2 linked regions of the Elephas maximus indicus genome follow. The protein of the gene in region 1 interacts with the protein of each later gene in a pairwise test. Links are inferred from orthologs where the notes say so. Each region holds a gene or a part of one and is shown in the gene's direction. Other genes may lie near its edges.

Region 1 (7,224 bases):
CTCCCCCTAGAGCTGGCGCCCTGAATTTGGACTTCCAGCCTACTGGACTGTGAGAGAATAAACTTCTCTTTGTTAAAGCCATCCACTTGTGATATTTCTGTTATAGTACACAAGATGACTAAGACAGGAGGCCTGTCCTGAGAGGCCTGTTAGCATGGCAGAGAGGACTGCTAGCCCAGCCAAGTAGGGTCTGCTAGCATAGCATACGGAAGCTGATGGAGCTGTCCTGGTTGGAAGCTGTCCTGATTGACCAACTGCATCCTGTCTCCCGAGTTACTTCCAAGTTGATCATGATCCTGAGTTGTAGCTCATTATTTCCCTAATAAACCCCTTAACTGTGAGTATGGTCTGTGCATTCTGTGTGGGCATTGCAACGAATTATGGAACCCAGTAGAAAAGTAGAGAGTGTTGTAGAGAGTGTTCTGTCTGGTGTGAGAAATGGTGAAGAATTTGGAGAGTGGAGGTGTGTCTGACCTCTACCTCACAGAAACCAGCTTTGTGTTGATTCAGATTCTTACACACCTCATGAAGTTAGACAAGTTTTGAGTATCTTTCAGATCTTCGCTAAAGCTACAGTGTTTCAAGGTACTCCTTCCCTAAACCCTGCAACTAGGTCAGATTCTCACTAAGTGCCCCCATAACACCATCTGCTTTTCCTTCCTGTATTATCACTGTTACATTTGGAGATATATGACCAGGTCTGTCTTTTCTATCAGTTGCCTTCAGGCCAGGATTCAACCCATGTACTTATACAGTAGGCCAGGCATTACAGCTTCAAAGCCAATAGGCACGAAAAAGTAACATAAATGAGAGGTGGGCAGGCTGGGGATTGTGATAAAAAAAACTTACCCCATCTATAGCGTTCAGCGCCATTCATAGGTTCTGTGCAGCAGATTTGCTTCATTTTAAAAGAGATGATGCAAACCCAGATTATTACGTGAATGTTAGGATGATAGCAACTAATTAAAACTAAAAACAGAGAGAGAAAGAGAAGAGAAAAACAACAACCACCTGAAGACTTAATATCCCTCATTTTGAGAACTACTCTGAACTTTCACGATGTACAACCAAGGAATTGTATATAACTGAGGCACAGGTTAGCCATGGGGCTGGCTGGGGTTCAGGGAGAAGTCATTTAGATTTGCTTTTCTCTATTTGTACCTAGGGACCATCACTTAAGTTCTCTTTCAAAGGCCCGTAGGCCTCTAGACTCTCACCAAGTAATTAAGGAGTTATTTATTTTTCTTTCTCTTGGGAAGAAGAGGGAAGTAAGAAACTGATCATTAAGTTTTACTAAATTCTCTGTGTTCCCTCCCAGAGGATAAATTATAAGTATTTGTAACAAGGAATGTGAACATGCAAATCTCATAAAAGCCCTGGGAGAAGTCAATTTTTGTCAAAAACTTATACTTCTTGTTATTTCATGTTTCTATTAAAAAAATAGAGGGACCTCTCTCTGACTGTATGGAAGGAGGGGAGAAAATTGAGACTAGAATTCATAGGCCCATTGTTTAAGCCTCCCATGGGTGATAGTAAAATGGGACAGAATGACTTCCTTCTAACTTCACACCTTTGAGAAGATTGTTTGATTGTATTCACAGATACAGTTTTGGGTTTAGAGAAACCCCTCTGTGACTATTCTTTTACCCAAGTGAGCTATGAGATCCAGACTGCTTAGACGTTAGAAAGAAAAAAATTCACCTTCAGCAGAGAGCTGAAAAATACTTGATTGTTGCTTAGTCTTGGATGGGCACTGAAAGGATGATGAAGGTCTTCTGACTGATTTTCATGTCCTGAAACTTCTCATTGTGTTTTACAAGAAACAAAATAAGGCCTAGTCCAGAGAAGAGAGTCCTCCACGGCTAGGGCAAGGATTCTTCAGCCTCACAATCTCAAGTTGTGGATTTATGCAAATTTAACAGCTTTTCCATGGCAAAAAAGACTGAGCAACAGTTAGATTGAGAGTTACTGACAGACAGAATGAACGTTTTAAATAGTGATGGAACAGCTCCAGAGTGAGCAGGAGAGAGGAAGCCTGTGACTCTGCAGTTGCTTCAATCACTCTGAGCTTCCCGGACTTCTTACAATGTGAGCATCATTCTTCACTGGGGGTGATTCCAGGTGTCAAAGATTCCTTCGCCCTCTCCACTCTTGAACATCAGGGCCTCTAAAAAAAGCTTAGGTTATCTAGAGCTGGGTGAGAGAAAGGGACGTATGTTGCCATGCTTGAGAAAAAACAGACAGAGGAATCTGTCATTTTCCAAATCTCTTTCTAAGAGATTTCGAGAATAATTTTGACAAAATGGGGTCTCTACATTGCATGTTCACCTACAAACAAATCATGGTCTTGGTGGATTTGAAGAATCGAAAAGATCTCTAGGTTGATGTCTAGGTTCTTTACTGAACCAAGTCAAGAGTTAACAGTCCTAACAAGTTCTAAAAATATATTTTCTTCTTAAGAAATTTATACATGTTTCTTACAGAACATTCTTTCCTGCCTCAGAGCCTTCTCTGCCTGGGATGCTCTATCCTTAAATTTTTTATGGCTCTGGACTTACTTCCAACGTCTCCTTCTCAAGGGGCCCTATCTGACCCTGTCTTAGTCATCTAGTGCTGCTATAACAGAAATACCACAAGTGGATGGCTTCAACAAAGAGAAATTTATTCTCTCACAGTCTAGCAGGCCGGAAGTCCAAATTTAGGGCGTCAGCTCCAGGGGAAGCCTTTCTCTGTCAGCTCTGGAGAAAGGTCATCATCATCCATCTTCCCCTGGGCTACAGGCTTCTCCCCGCAGGAACCTTGGGTGCACCCTGCTCCAGGTGCTTCTTTCCTGGTGGTATGAGGTCCCCACTCTGCTTGCTTTCCTTTCCTTTTATCTCTTGTAAGATAAAAGGTGGTGCAGGCCACACCCCAGGCAAACTCCCCTTACATTGGATCAGGGATGTGACCTGAGCAAGGGTGTTACATCCCACCCTAATCCTCTTTAACCACAGGAAGAGATTATGATTTATAACACATAGGAAAATCACAAAATGGAGGACAACCACATGACACTGGGAATCACGGCCTAACCAAGTTGACACATATTTTTAGGGGACACAATTCAATCCATGACAGGCCCTCTCCACCCAATCACAATTTATCATATAAGTCTGTTTCATTTTCTTATAGCATTTATTGCTCTTTTATCTCATTTGATTATCATTTATTGTGTATCTCCTTTTGTCTAAGGCATTTATTATTTTTTACACTCTATATGAATATAATTATATAAATTTACTGGAGCCCTGGTGACACAATGGTTAAGAGCTTGGCTCCTGACCAAAAGGTCAGCAGTTCAAATCCACCGGCTACTCCTTTGAAACCCTATGGGGCAGTTCTACTCTGTCCTATAGGGTTGCTATGAGTTGGAATCAACTCAATGGCAATAGTTTTTTTGGGGGGGGTTTTTTTTGGATATAAATTACTTTTTTTTTTTTTAATAATTTTTATTGAGCTTTAAGTGAACGTTTACAAATCAAGTCAGTCTGTCACATATAACTTATTTATTTATTTATTTTTAATTCAGTTTTATCCCCACTAGAAGGGAGCAGTACTCAGAATAGAATCAAGGCAAGGGGTAGAGGGGCTAATGGTTAAGAGCCTGGCTGCTAACCAAAAGGTCAGCAGTTCAAATCCACCAGCTGCTCTTTGGAAACTCTATGGGCAGCTCTACTTTGCCCTATAGGGTCACTATGAGTGGGAATGGACTGAAACCCAACAGGTTTGTTTGTTTGGTAGACGGTAAGCTCCACGAGGGCGGGAATTTTTGTCTGTTCATTACTTATTCTTAGGTCTGGCAGCAGTACCTTACACATAGTAGCCGTTTAGTAAACATTTACAGAAGGAAGAATGCAGGTACTGAGGGACTAAAAGAAGGAAAAACAGGCAAAAAGTAGGAAGCAGGTAGTAGCCCCACCTCGGACTCAGCCGGCGCCTGCAAGAACTACAACTCCCAGCATGCCCCGGGGCCCAGGGCGGGTCGCGGCCGCCCCGGGCAGAGAGCAGGACCCAGCCCTTCGGGCTCCCGGCGTGCCTTGCGAGCGCCGGCGCCGCCGCAGCGCCCGCCGGAACTTGTGGTCCAAGCGCGGGTGGGGGTGGGGCCGGGCTTGGAGGCGGGCGGGGGCCGGGGGCGGGCGCCGGCCCCTCCCCCGTCACTTCCTGCCAGGCTGCGGGCGCTCCAGCGGCTCCTCAGCGTTTGCGCCGGCAGTCGCCGCCGCGTCTCACTCGGCTCCCCTGGTCCCTGACCCCCGGCCCGGCGGCGCCCGCCCCTCCACGGCCACTCCGCCTCTTCCCTCCCTCCGTCCCTTCCTCCTGTCCCTTCTTCCTTCCTCCTTCCCCTCTTCGCCGCCGCCGCCCAGGACCGCCGGCCGGGGGACGCGCTCAGGGCAACAGCCAGGTGAGGCGGCCGGGCCTGGCCCGAAGGCGCTCGCGCGGGCGCCGCAGCCGCGGGGAGGCGGGCGGCGGGTGGGGCCTAGGCCTCGGCGGCGCCGCGCGCCGGCCTCCTCTCCCGGGCCTCGCTCCCGCCGGCCGGGCCTTCTCCTAGGAGGCGGGTCGTTCTGCGCCCCCGCCTCGCGCCGCCGGGCGGCCTGGCCCCCGGGCGCCCGGCCCTCTCGGCCCCTAGCTGGGGCCAGAAACAGGTGCCCCGACCGCCTTTCCTCATTCCTGGCCGCGCGCTGGATGCCGGAGTTGTTCCCGGGGCGGGGGAGGGGCGAGTCTCGGCTCCGGGCCCCGAGGTCCACGCGCACGGCCGGCCCGGCCGGTGGCACAGCCGGCGCAGGGGCGGCCCAGGTGTGCGACTCGGGGGCTGACCCCGCTCTGCCCCCTTGGGCCAGTCACTTCAGCTGGCAGAAGGGGCTGATACCGCCCCTGCCCCTTAAGGTTCTCAAGGTTCAGTGAAACGGGGCGTGTAAAGCACTTACCAGAGTGTCTCAAAGCGTCAACATTATTTATTAGCGCGATCACAAAACCCAGCGCGCGATCAGTAAGGTGTTTAATTAAATGGATAGAGGGCGCAGAAACTGACCTACCTACCCGTGTTGGGATCCTTGGAAGCGGAAATGTCTCAGCGTGCCCACTGCCAGCGCCAGGACATTGTTTTGGGTTGTTAACCCAAAGGGGCTTACGTTTAATTGGGACACTCTGCAGTAGGTAGCCTGTAAAAGATAGCTGCTGTTATTTCCATCTCATCCGTGTGGCCAACTGCAGGATTTTCACCACTGAGAGCAACCTGTCCGCTTCTTCTGCCATCATCCGGCTTCTTGTTGTCATCTCACTTCTGGGAAACTTGCTGGCAGAAGCAAACCTTTCTGCAGCACCTGCTGTGGGGTCGGGTTCTGGAGGGGGAAGATGGTGTACAAATATGAACAAACATGTCTGTCTGTCCCTTTCTTGCTCTACATCTCGAACTTCTAACTTTTTGTCACTGCAGCTTTGCTTTTATTCCCTCCGTTCCCGTTGGCTGACTTTCATTTTAAGCCCTTGCCCACCTCCGTGTTGCAGTATTGCTTGTATGGAAGTTTTCTTCTGTTCCAGCAAAGATGTGTGCTTCAGTCTGTTCTGCCCTTCTCTGGCTGTGGGGATGTTTTTAAGGTCACTCTTCCCTTCTGCCTTTAGCTTTAATTGTTTAGAGGGTGGGAGAAGGAGTGAGTTAAACTGGGTTTTCAGATGATTTGGGTCTTTCAGGAATCAAAAGTGCTTACCAAATGTAAATGACATTGCTACTTGTTGAAGTTAACACTAAAAATACAATTGGATCCTAGAGGGAGCCTTTTCAATCACCCTGGTGACAGGTGGGATTTTCAGAACAGTGACTTCATTGAAGCATGCCGAGTTTTTGTAATTATGTACTTAGTTGTATAGGTATACCCATCAGTAAGGTAATGCAACTCATGGAAGTTTAGATTTACAAAGGAGTCAGGAGTGTGTTTGCACTCCTGGCATAGTGGTTAAGAGTTCAGCTGCTAACCAAAAGGTCGGCAGTTTGAGTCCACCAGGCTTTCCTTGGAAACCCTATGGGGCAGTTTTGCTCTGTCCTGTAGGGTCACAGTGAGTTGGAATCGACTTGATGGCAACGGGCCTTTTTTTTTTTTGGTTCTCAATAATAACACGCATGATCCAAAGTGGCCTCCCTCTTCTTGACATTTTCTTAGAATTTTCTGACTCAAGGCCTTACCAGGGTTTCTAGTTTAAAATCTTGGCTTCGATGGCTTTTTAAAAACACCTGAGCAAACAACTAAACAACACAAAGCCTGTGTTCTACTCCCACATCGCTAATAGTAACGCTGGGGAAATGGTGTTTTAATATTGCAGTAAATAATGTAAAGTTTTTTTTAACTTTTTATCATGGAAAACATACAGACGCCAAATACTATACTGTAGAAAACCCCTGTGTATTGGTCGCTCATCTTTGACAATTGTTACCTCATAGCCAAGGCCAGCCTTGTTTCATATTGTACCCCTCCCCCAAACGATTATTTTGAAACAAATCCCAAACATCCTATCACAACATTAACGATTTCCACTTTTACCAGATTGCCCCAGTCTGTCACAAAATTTACTTTTAGCAGAGTCATACTTCTTGTTTTGTTAGGATTCTCATCTCTGTTTAGACAGTGTTACTATAAAAAAAATAAAATTTTTTTTATAGTGTTACTATAGAGCAGAAAAAAGAGCAGCAGCTTGATTAGTGCTTAATTCAGTGTTTCTCCCCATCAAACTCACGTCCAAAATATTGGTTTGTTTCTTTGCATATGAAAACAATAATTTTTCTATTAATGACTGTAATTGAAAAGCAGTCAGAAATAACAGATTTTCCTAATCCTATCTGCTGGGGACCTACCTGTTAAACCACTTTTTATGGAGAATTAACTTTGCATCCAAGTTAAAGTTAATTATTTATAATGAAAACCTTTAAAGTTTCTTTATAGTAGTTGTGTAAATATGTTGATCTCAGCTTAGGTTAAGAATTAAGTAAAGGGTATTTGATTTCAGTACCCTCCGTTGTAGAATTATTTTCCAAAGACTGCCCCCATCTGCCTTATTTGCAAACAACAAATTTATTTAAGCAGGAATGAAATCTTAATTTTTGTGACTAGTATGAAATCATAGCACAGGTGTTCACATTTTTCTTTCTGGTCTAAAAAGAGATCTAACCTAGAATAGAAAGTTGACAAGAATATTAAA
Region 2 (7,586 bases), about 45 Mb from region 1:
CCTGGTGGGGACGGCAAGGCAAGGTTTGGACAAGCACATGGAACCAGAAACATTTTTGTGCCCGTTTTTTGGAAAATAACACTTGCCACAACAAGGAACAAAAAAACACTGGGAACCAAGGCAGCTGTTCACCAAGAGCTCATGTGCCTATGCCTGCGTGGGTGTGCCCTACTCTAGCACTCTCTCAGATCACGTGGCCTTTTGACTCTGCTTCATTATCTCGTCTGTCCTCATGGCCACCCAGCTCCCAACCTACAGGCGCTACTGGCCTCAGTTCTTTCTGCCTTCCAAGAATCCCAGGAACTCTCCTCTCCTCTCCTCAGTGGGACTGGCTGTCAAGCTGCCCCACCCCTTCCTGGCCAAGCGGCAGGTGGCGCATGGTTGGAGTTAGGCCAATGCAGCTCTCTGTCTCCCAGGAATCTGAATCTTGAGTGGAGGATCCCAATGGCTAGAAATTTGTCCGAGGTAGCACCTGAAGCACCCACTGCCCAGTTCCTGCTCCCCAGACCCCAGGAGTCTTACCAAGCCCTGCCTTGGCTCAGCAAGCACCTGCAGGCTTCCAGTAAACACCTCTGGCCTACATTAGCCAAAACTGGTTTCTGTTACTTGCGAACAATCAACCCCAATAAATATCCATATTCAGTTCCAGCCACACCTGAAGCTTATTAGCAGTTTCTGGCTCCCAAAATTCCACGTTTCCGGGAAAGAGCATTTGATGGCTCAGCTGGAGAGACTTCCACCTGCAACCCAATCAGCAATGATTCCAAGAACATTCTCAAACAAAGGGCATCCTTGTAGGCGAGGCAAACACTCCCAGTGGTGCCTCCACAATGCGCTGCCATTTAACTACTACGGCATTCCCACTCCCATTTCACAAAGTCACCGAGGAACAGAGGAGGCAGAGTGGCAGAGCTAGGATTTCACAAAACCCTGTCTGCCCCATATGATATGCTCCTTCCATGGCCTCCAGAAAAGTCTCCCCAAAAGTGGGGTCCCCAAGTGACCTCCCAGAACTACAGCCCTGGCTCGCCTGGTTGTTCGGCAGCTTGATGGCCCTGCTGAGGCTTTAGTCTTGTTGCCCCCTGGGTACGAGAGGCTCTCAGTTCTACCTTCTGCCCTCAAATGGCAATCTCTGAAACAAATAAATCAGGGAAAGATTAAAAAAAAAAAGATTTGTTATCAGTGCCAATGCAGGTGGCCCAGCTCCAAGCCTCTTAAGGCAAACACGTGCTGCTAGGTCCTGCAGCAGACACACACCGACAACAGGGGAGATCAACCCTGTCCTTCAGACATAAACATCCTAAGTCAGGCCTGTCTTCAGAGCTGCCAGAGGCTCCGCACGTAGATGTGTCCTCCCTCCCTGGAGAGGCTCCAGGCTGCAAACGGGGCCTCTGCTCTAAGAGAGGCTTCATTTTCTAGAAGGTGCCAATGTGATTTGGTGATAAATCCAGCTAATTTGTCAATACACTTGTCCCATGCTTAAAAGCCAGTCTTTGGAGGGAGAGCTTGTTGGCAAATCAGGAAGTTGCTGTCAGTGCAAACTGTCTAAGCATAATTCTGCCTTGGTGGTGTTTCCTGGGTGCTTAATCTAGGCCAGGCTCTGTGCCAAGCATTGCTTCCTTCGCTGCTCGCATCTGCCCAAGAAAATGGGTATTATTATTGTCCTCATTCTCCGGTGAGGCAGCTGAGACTCAGAGAGGTTAGTTTACATGATCCCCTAGTCAACCCACCAGTCACCTCTACTAGGTATACTAGTTAAATTATAAGTAACGTAAAGCCCAACTTTAAATAGCATGAAAAATGAAGGATATTTTACTAGCTCCTGAAACTGCAAAGTCCAAACTTCAGGGCTGGTTTGACTCAGGGTCTTAACACAGTCATCGAGTGCCTGATTTCTTCCCATCTCTCATGTCTGTCTCATGGGCATGGGGCTCCCCTCAGGGGGGAAAGATGGTTGTCGCAGTGCCATCCACACACCACAAGTCCAGAGAGAGAGAAAACATTTCTTTCCCAGCACCCCTGAGCAACCACCTTCTCCAGGCTTGGTGGCCCTGACTGGGTCTCCCACCATCCCTGAGTTCTGCTTGGGGCACAGTGCCAGCACCCTGTGCCTGAGGGCCAGGCGTGGCCCTAAACTCCCAAATGCAAGGACTGCAGGGGAATAACAACTAGCGGGGCTTCCAAGAGAAGGGGGAGTAGACTTGGGGGAGGGGTCATCACAATTGCAATGTTGTAGAGCAATGATTTGAACTCAGGCCTGTCCTGCACCAAAGCCTATTCATTCAAACAGTATTTATTGAGCTCTTACTGTGAGTTAAGCACAATTTTAGATGCTAGACACAGGTCTTAAAGGTCCCTGCCTTCCTACCCACTGCTGGCTCTGCTGCCTCTTGGGGACAAAGTCCTCTGTATTTACAAGGCATTGGAGATGGACAAACGTTGTCCTGTTCAGCTTTTTTAGGTCTAACTCAACTCTGTAACTCCAGGCTGCTAATTTCATTTCTCTCTCAGCCTCCTCGTCTATAATATCAGGAATAATAACACCTTCCTCAAAGGGTTATGAAAAAAGGGGAATACAGGGAAACTTAAAGCAGCCTAACATTCAACCTAGTGAGCACAGAGTAATCAGCTTTCTTTTCATCCACTGGTGCTGGGATATGGACTTGTGCACAGCGAACCCTGACCTCACTGTCCTGGGCTTCATAAAGAAATAACTGGTATGAGCACTGCTCCAAAGACGCTCATTCGACCTTTCTACTCAGCCTCCAGCTTACTTCTTACAATCCAAACCTCCTTCACCTACTTGATTTCAGTAGCCCATCTTTACTAAACAGCCCACCCGGTTTCTAAGCTCGTCTTGAAATCTGAGAGCAAGGGTTCTCTGAGCAACGCGAGCAAACTCAAGGCTGAGGACACCAAAAAAGCATCCCTCCGATGAATACACGCCCTAAAAGGACACTGCAAAATCCTTGAACCTAGCCCATGCCCAGAATGCTCCCTCACCTTTAACCCAAAAAAATCAAACCCGTTGCTATCGAGTCAATTCCAACCCTCAGTGACCCCACAGGAGAGAGAACTGCCCCATAGTTTCCAAGGAACACCTGGTGGATCCGATATCGCACCTAAGGGTCAGCAAGTGGAGCTCAGAATCTTCCGCCTGAAGTCCAAACGTGTTTTATTCTCACTTTTATTTTCACTAAATGATTCCATATTGGTCAGCTGAAGTTCCAGACAGCTAGTTTGGAAAGCTGGAGCACAGAATCAAGCCACCAGCCAAGCTCTGAGCCACAGCTGGCACCATAAGTATGGAGTGAAGGAAGGAGCCCCTCGGTTCTCAAGACGCAGAAGGTAAACTGCCCTTTGGCGCCCTTTTGCCAGTTCCCAGCTTTACCCACGCCCTCATCCCCATCCTCGACCCTCTTCTCACTTTTAGGCAGTTTCCCGAGACCAAACCCGTTGCCCTGGACTTGAATCCCACTCCCAGCGACCCTACAGGACGTGCTGACCTGCCCCACAGTACTTCCGAGGCAGTAATTCGTCTTGGCAGAAGTGCAGCCAGAACGCTCCTGGGAAACGAGGATAAGGAGGCTCCGTCTCTGGTACTGTGGACACGTTACCACGAGGGCCCGGTCCCGGGAGGGCATCATGCTCGGCTGAGGGTCAGCGGAGAGAGGCAGACCCTCGGCGAGGCGCGCGGACGCGGCGGCTGCACCGGCGGGTTCACAGCAGCAGGCCGGGGCGCCGGCACGGAAGCCGGCCGTGCTCCGTCCCTTGCCTCAGGGTCGCTATGAGCCGGACAGCACCACAGCACCTAACGACAAGCTCACGGAAGCCTCGTCCGGGTGCCTCAGAGCGGCCGGCGGGCTCCAGCCGCGGGCCTTTCGGTTAGCAGCCGAGCCCTGTAACCACTGCTCAGCCGGGGCTCCTGGGTCCCCGCTTACCAGAAGACCTTCCCAACCCCTCAGCCCGTCAACTCCAAGGGCCTCAAGCTACAAACGGCAGCGCCCGCTCGGGTCACCGCTTGGGCAGATAATTACCCTCTCGGAGGGTGCACGTGCTCCCGGCGACCACACGCGATGTCTGACTGAGCGCCTCAGTGGGCTGCCCCGGATGCACAAGTCGCGGGGCGTCACATGCCCCGGAACCGGAAGCCCCAGCTGCAGTTGAGCGTGCGCGCATGAACCTCTCCGGCAGAGCATCACAAGTGGGCGGCCTCGGCTCCGGGGGCGGGGCCTGGAAACTTTATCCAATCAACGATATCTCACCTAACTATTTGGACCGGAGTCTGTGACCCGGTTGGACCAATGAAAGCTCGAGCGCTGCCGTTGCCTGGACCCTCCCCCGCCCGGAAACCGCGGCTCTCTTCCCGCCACACCTAGGCGGGGCTACCTTCCGACTCGCCTTCCCATTGGTTCACTCAGCTGCCGGTCACGCAAGGCGGGCCTCCAGTGGGAATCTGCACCGGGAGCCGCCGGGGGCGCCTCCGGCCGCCAGTCGCCGCCGCCGCCTAGGGCCCCGGCGATCCAGCTGAGTGAGCCCCGCTGGAGGAAAAGAGGGCGGCTCTTCCCGCGCCCCCCACAGGTGAGCCATGGGGGAGCTGAGAGCCTCGGCAGTCCCACCCGTGACCTTCAGGTGCCGGGCCTCTCGGTAGACCTGCAGTCCGCGACGCCCCCTGTCCCCGCCCCGTCGCCCCTGGGGACTCCTACCGCCCCCCGCGCACCGGAGACGCCCCCGCCCCACGGGGACTCCCCCCGCCCACCGGAGACGGCCCCGCCCCCCCGGGACGCCCACTGCCCCTGCCCCGCCGGCCCCCGGGGACGCCCACCGCCCACCCCGGACGCCTACCCGCCCCCACTCCCCGCCCACGCTCACTGGGGGTCGCTGAGTCGCACCCCGACCCGCGCTGGCGAGGGAGGCGGAGACCCTCTCCGCCCGCGCTGACCCGGGATGTGGTCTGCACAGGTAGGTCGCCGACCCCATCTGGTACATTGGGGACCACGCGCGGACGCGGAGCGATTCACGAGAGACAGGGAGAGGAACACGGGCATTCCCGAGCCTTGCTTCACTGTCAAGGGAAACCCGCGGGTTTTGTCGCTAAATCAGGAGGTATCAGTGCAGGCCTGCGTTAGGTTTCTGCGTGTGCGGGAGGAAGAGCATGCGTTCAGAGAGAAACTCTCGGTAAGTTTGCATTGCAGTGAGCAGGAGAGAGCCATGTAGAGGAGCAGCTCTGAGGCCTCAGAAGAACTGTGTAACTGTTGCATCTTCTCACTCAGCATTCGGTGATGTGGAGCCCAGAGAAAAGGAGGCGGTATTCACAGATTTTCATTTATCCCACTTTCCACAGTCTCATTATTGCTCTGTATTAACGTAGCGAAGAGACGTGGTCGTTTATTGGGAGAGGGGACATGATTGTGAGTGGAAGCAGAGGTGGGGGAACAGGGGCTCAACTGAAGAGAAGGTCCGGAGACAATGGAATTGAGACGATGGAGGACTGACGGGACATCAGGATGAGGAGGAATGTGGACCTTGTAATGGTCGGGCCTTCCAGAAAGAGAAATCTGAGTTTCCAGAAAGGAATTTTCAAACCACTTGTCCTGGAGCTAAGCTCAAGTAGACAAATTCAGCTTTAGTTAAAAAATGCAGGGAACTTTGAGCAAATAAAAGGCCAGCAGTCTTTTGAAATTTTTCAAGGTCCACAGACGTTTTTATGAACGGTAAATCAGGCATCTACTTACTGTTGTGATCTTGTTCCAGACTGTTGTTTTCTGATTTATAAAGCTGTTGTGTAATGTCCTCCTCACCCATTCATTATCCAGCTGCTGGCAACGCTCCAGGACGGAGCAGAGCTGCCGGGTGGGGTTTCCAAGGCTGTAAATCTTTACAGAAGACTGCAACAGGTTTCTCCCGTGCAGAGGCAGATGAGTTCAAACCACTAACCTTAAGTTTAGCAGCTGAGTGCTTAACCCCTGTGCCACCATGGCTCCTTTCATCCAGCATGGTGATGCTTAAGTGAAGGTAAGGCGTGTAAAGCCCTATCACAGTACCTAGCCCAGAGTAAGTGCGCACTGATGTCTGGTATCGAGGTCCGTGGAGGAAGTGGAAAGACCAGTGTCTGTGGAAGACCCAACTCTTATGTCTAGGGCTGCTCCCCCACCCCCCACCCCCCACCCCCCACCCCCCACCCCCCACCCCCCACCCCCCACCCCCCACCCCCCACCCCCAGCTCTTCACAGGTCTTTACTAGAGGCAGATGCCAGTGCCTTTCCCAGCCTTTAAATCTACCTGACCAGGTCTCTTTCTCCACCCCATGTGGAATCTGTCATCTGTTTTGTTAGCTGATGATTACAGCAGGCTCTAGTGGCACGGTGCTCACGCACTTAGCTGCTAAGTGAAAGCTTAACGGTTCAAACCTGTTAGCTGCTCCATGGGAGAAAGATGTGGCAGTCTGCTTCTATAAAGATTCACGGCCTTTGAAACCCTACAGGGCAATTCTGTTCCGTCCTGTACACGGTTGCCATGAGTCAGAAGGTTTTTTGGGGGGCGGTGCTTATAAGAACAGAAATTTATTGCCTCATGATTTTAGAGGCTTGTAGTCTGAATTCATGTTCTCAACAAAAGGTCTAGGCTAAGATTTTTTTTTTTAAGTGAAAGTTTAAAAACAAGTCAATATCTCATATAAAAACTTATGTAACCTTGCTGTGTACTCCTGTTTCCACTTCTGTATTGACACAGCGAAACCCTGGTGGCGTAGTGGTTAAGTGCTATGGCTGCTAACCAAAGGGTTGGCAGTTCGAATCTGCCAGGCGCTCCTTGAAAACCCCTCTGTGGGGCAGTTCTACTCTGTCCTATAGGGTCGCTATGAGTCGGAATCGACTTGATAGCACTGGGTTTGGTTTTTTGGGGTTTTATTGACACAGCACACTCTTTCCCTCCGCTCTCTATTTTTGTGTCCATTCAGCCAGCATCTGCCCCCCTCTGCCCTCTCCTTTCTTCTCCAGACAAGAGCTCCCTACAGTTTCCTGTGTCTGCTTGTTTGGGTTTACTTGATCCAAGGAGCTCACTCTTCACCAATATCATTTTCTGTCCCATCGTCCAGCCCAATCTCTGTCTGAAGAGCTGGCTTTGGGAATGGTTCCTGTCTTGGGCTAACAGAAAGTCTGGGAACCATGACCTCTGGGGTCCTTCTAGTCTCAGTTCGACCATTAAGTCTGGTCATTTTGCGGAATTTGGGGTCTGCATCCCCATGCTCTCCTCCTGCTCCCTCAGGGGTTCTCTGTTGTGTTCCCTGTCAGGGCAGTCATCAGTTGTAGTTAGGCACCATCTAGTTCTTCTGGTCTCAGGCTGAGGTAGTCTCTGGTTTATGTGGCCCTGTCTGTCTCTTGGACTCACAATTAATGACCTTGTATCCTTAGTGTTCTCCATTCTCCTTTGCTGCAGGTGGGTTGAGACCAATTGATGCATCTTAGATGGCTACTTACTAAGATTTAAGATCCCAGAAGCCGTGCTCTAAAGTGGGATCAGAACATTTTCTTAATAGATTTTATTATGCCAGTTGAGTTAGATGTCCCCTGAACCCATGGTCCCCA

The links. The genes of interacting proteins can lie anywhere in the genome.
Region 2: the proteins of STAU1 (region 1) and NXT1 interact in binary tests that used the Homo sapiens proteins (3 or more experiments, as listed by UniProt). The two-hybrid records come from large-scale screens. The link is inferred for Elephas maximus indicus from reciprocal best matches to the Homo sapiens genes STAU1 and NXT1.

What each region holds. Positions count from the first base shown.
Region 1 is NC_064843.1:20,395,854-20,403,077, forward strand, and holds the start of STAU1 (double-stranded RNA-binding protein Staufen homolog 1), read left to right. Parts: upstream 1-4,187; 5' UTR 4,188-4,438; intron 4,439-7,224. UniProt on the Homo sapiens protein: Binds double-stranded RNA (regardless of the sequence) and tubulin.
Region 2 is NC_064843.1:65,789,587-65,797,172, forward strand, and holds the start of NXT1 (NTF2-related export protein 1), read left to right. Parts: upstream 1-4,437; 5' UTR 4,438-4,581; intron 4,582-4,962; exon of another isoform or gene 4,963-5,178; intron 5,179-7,586.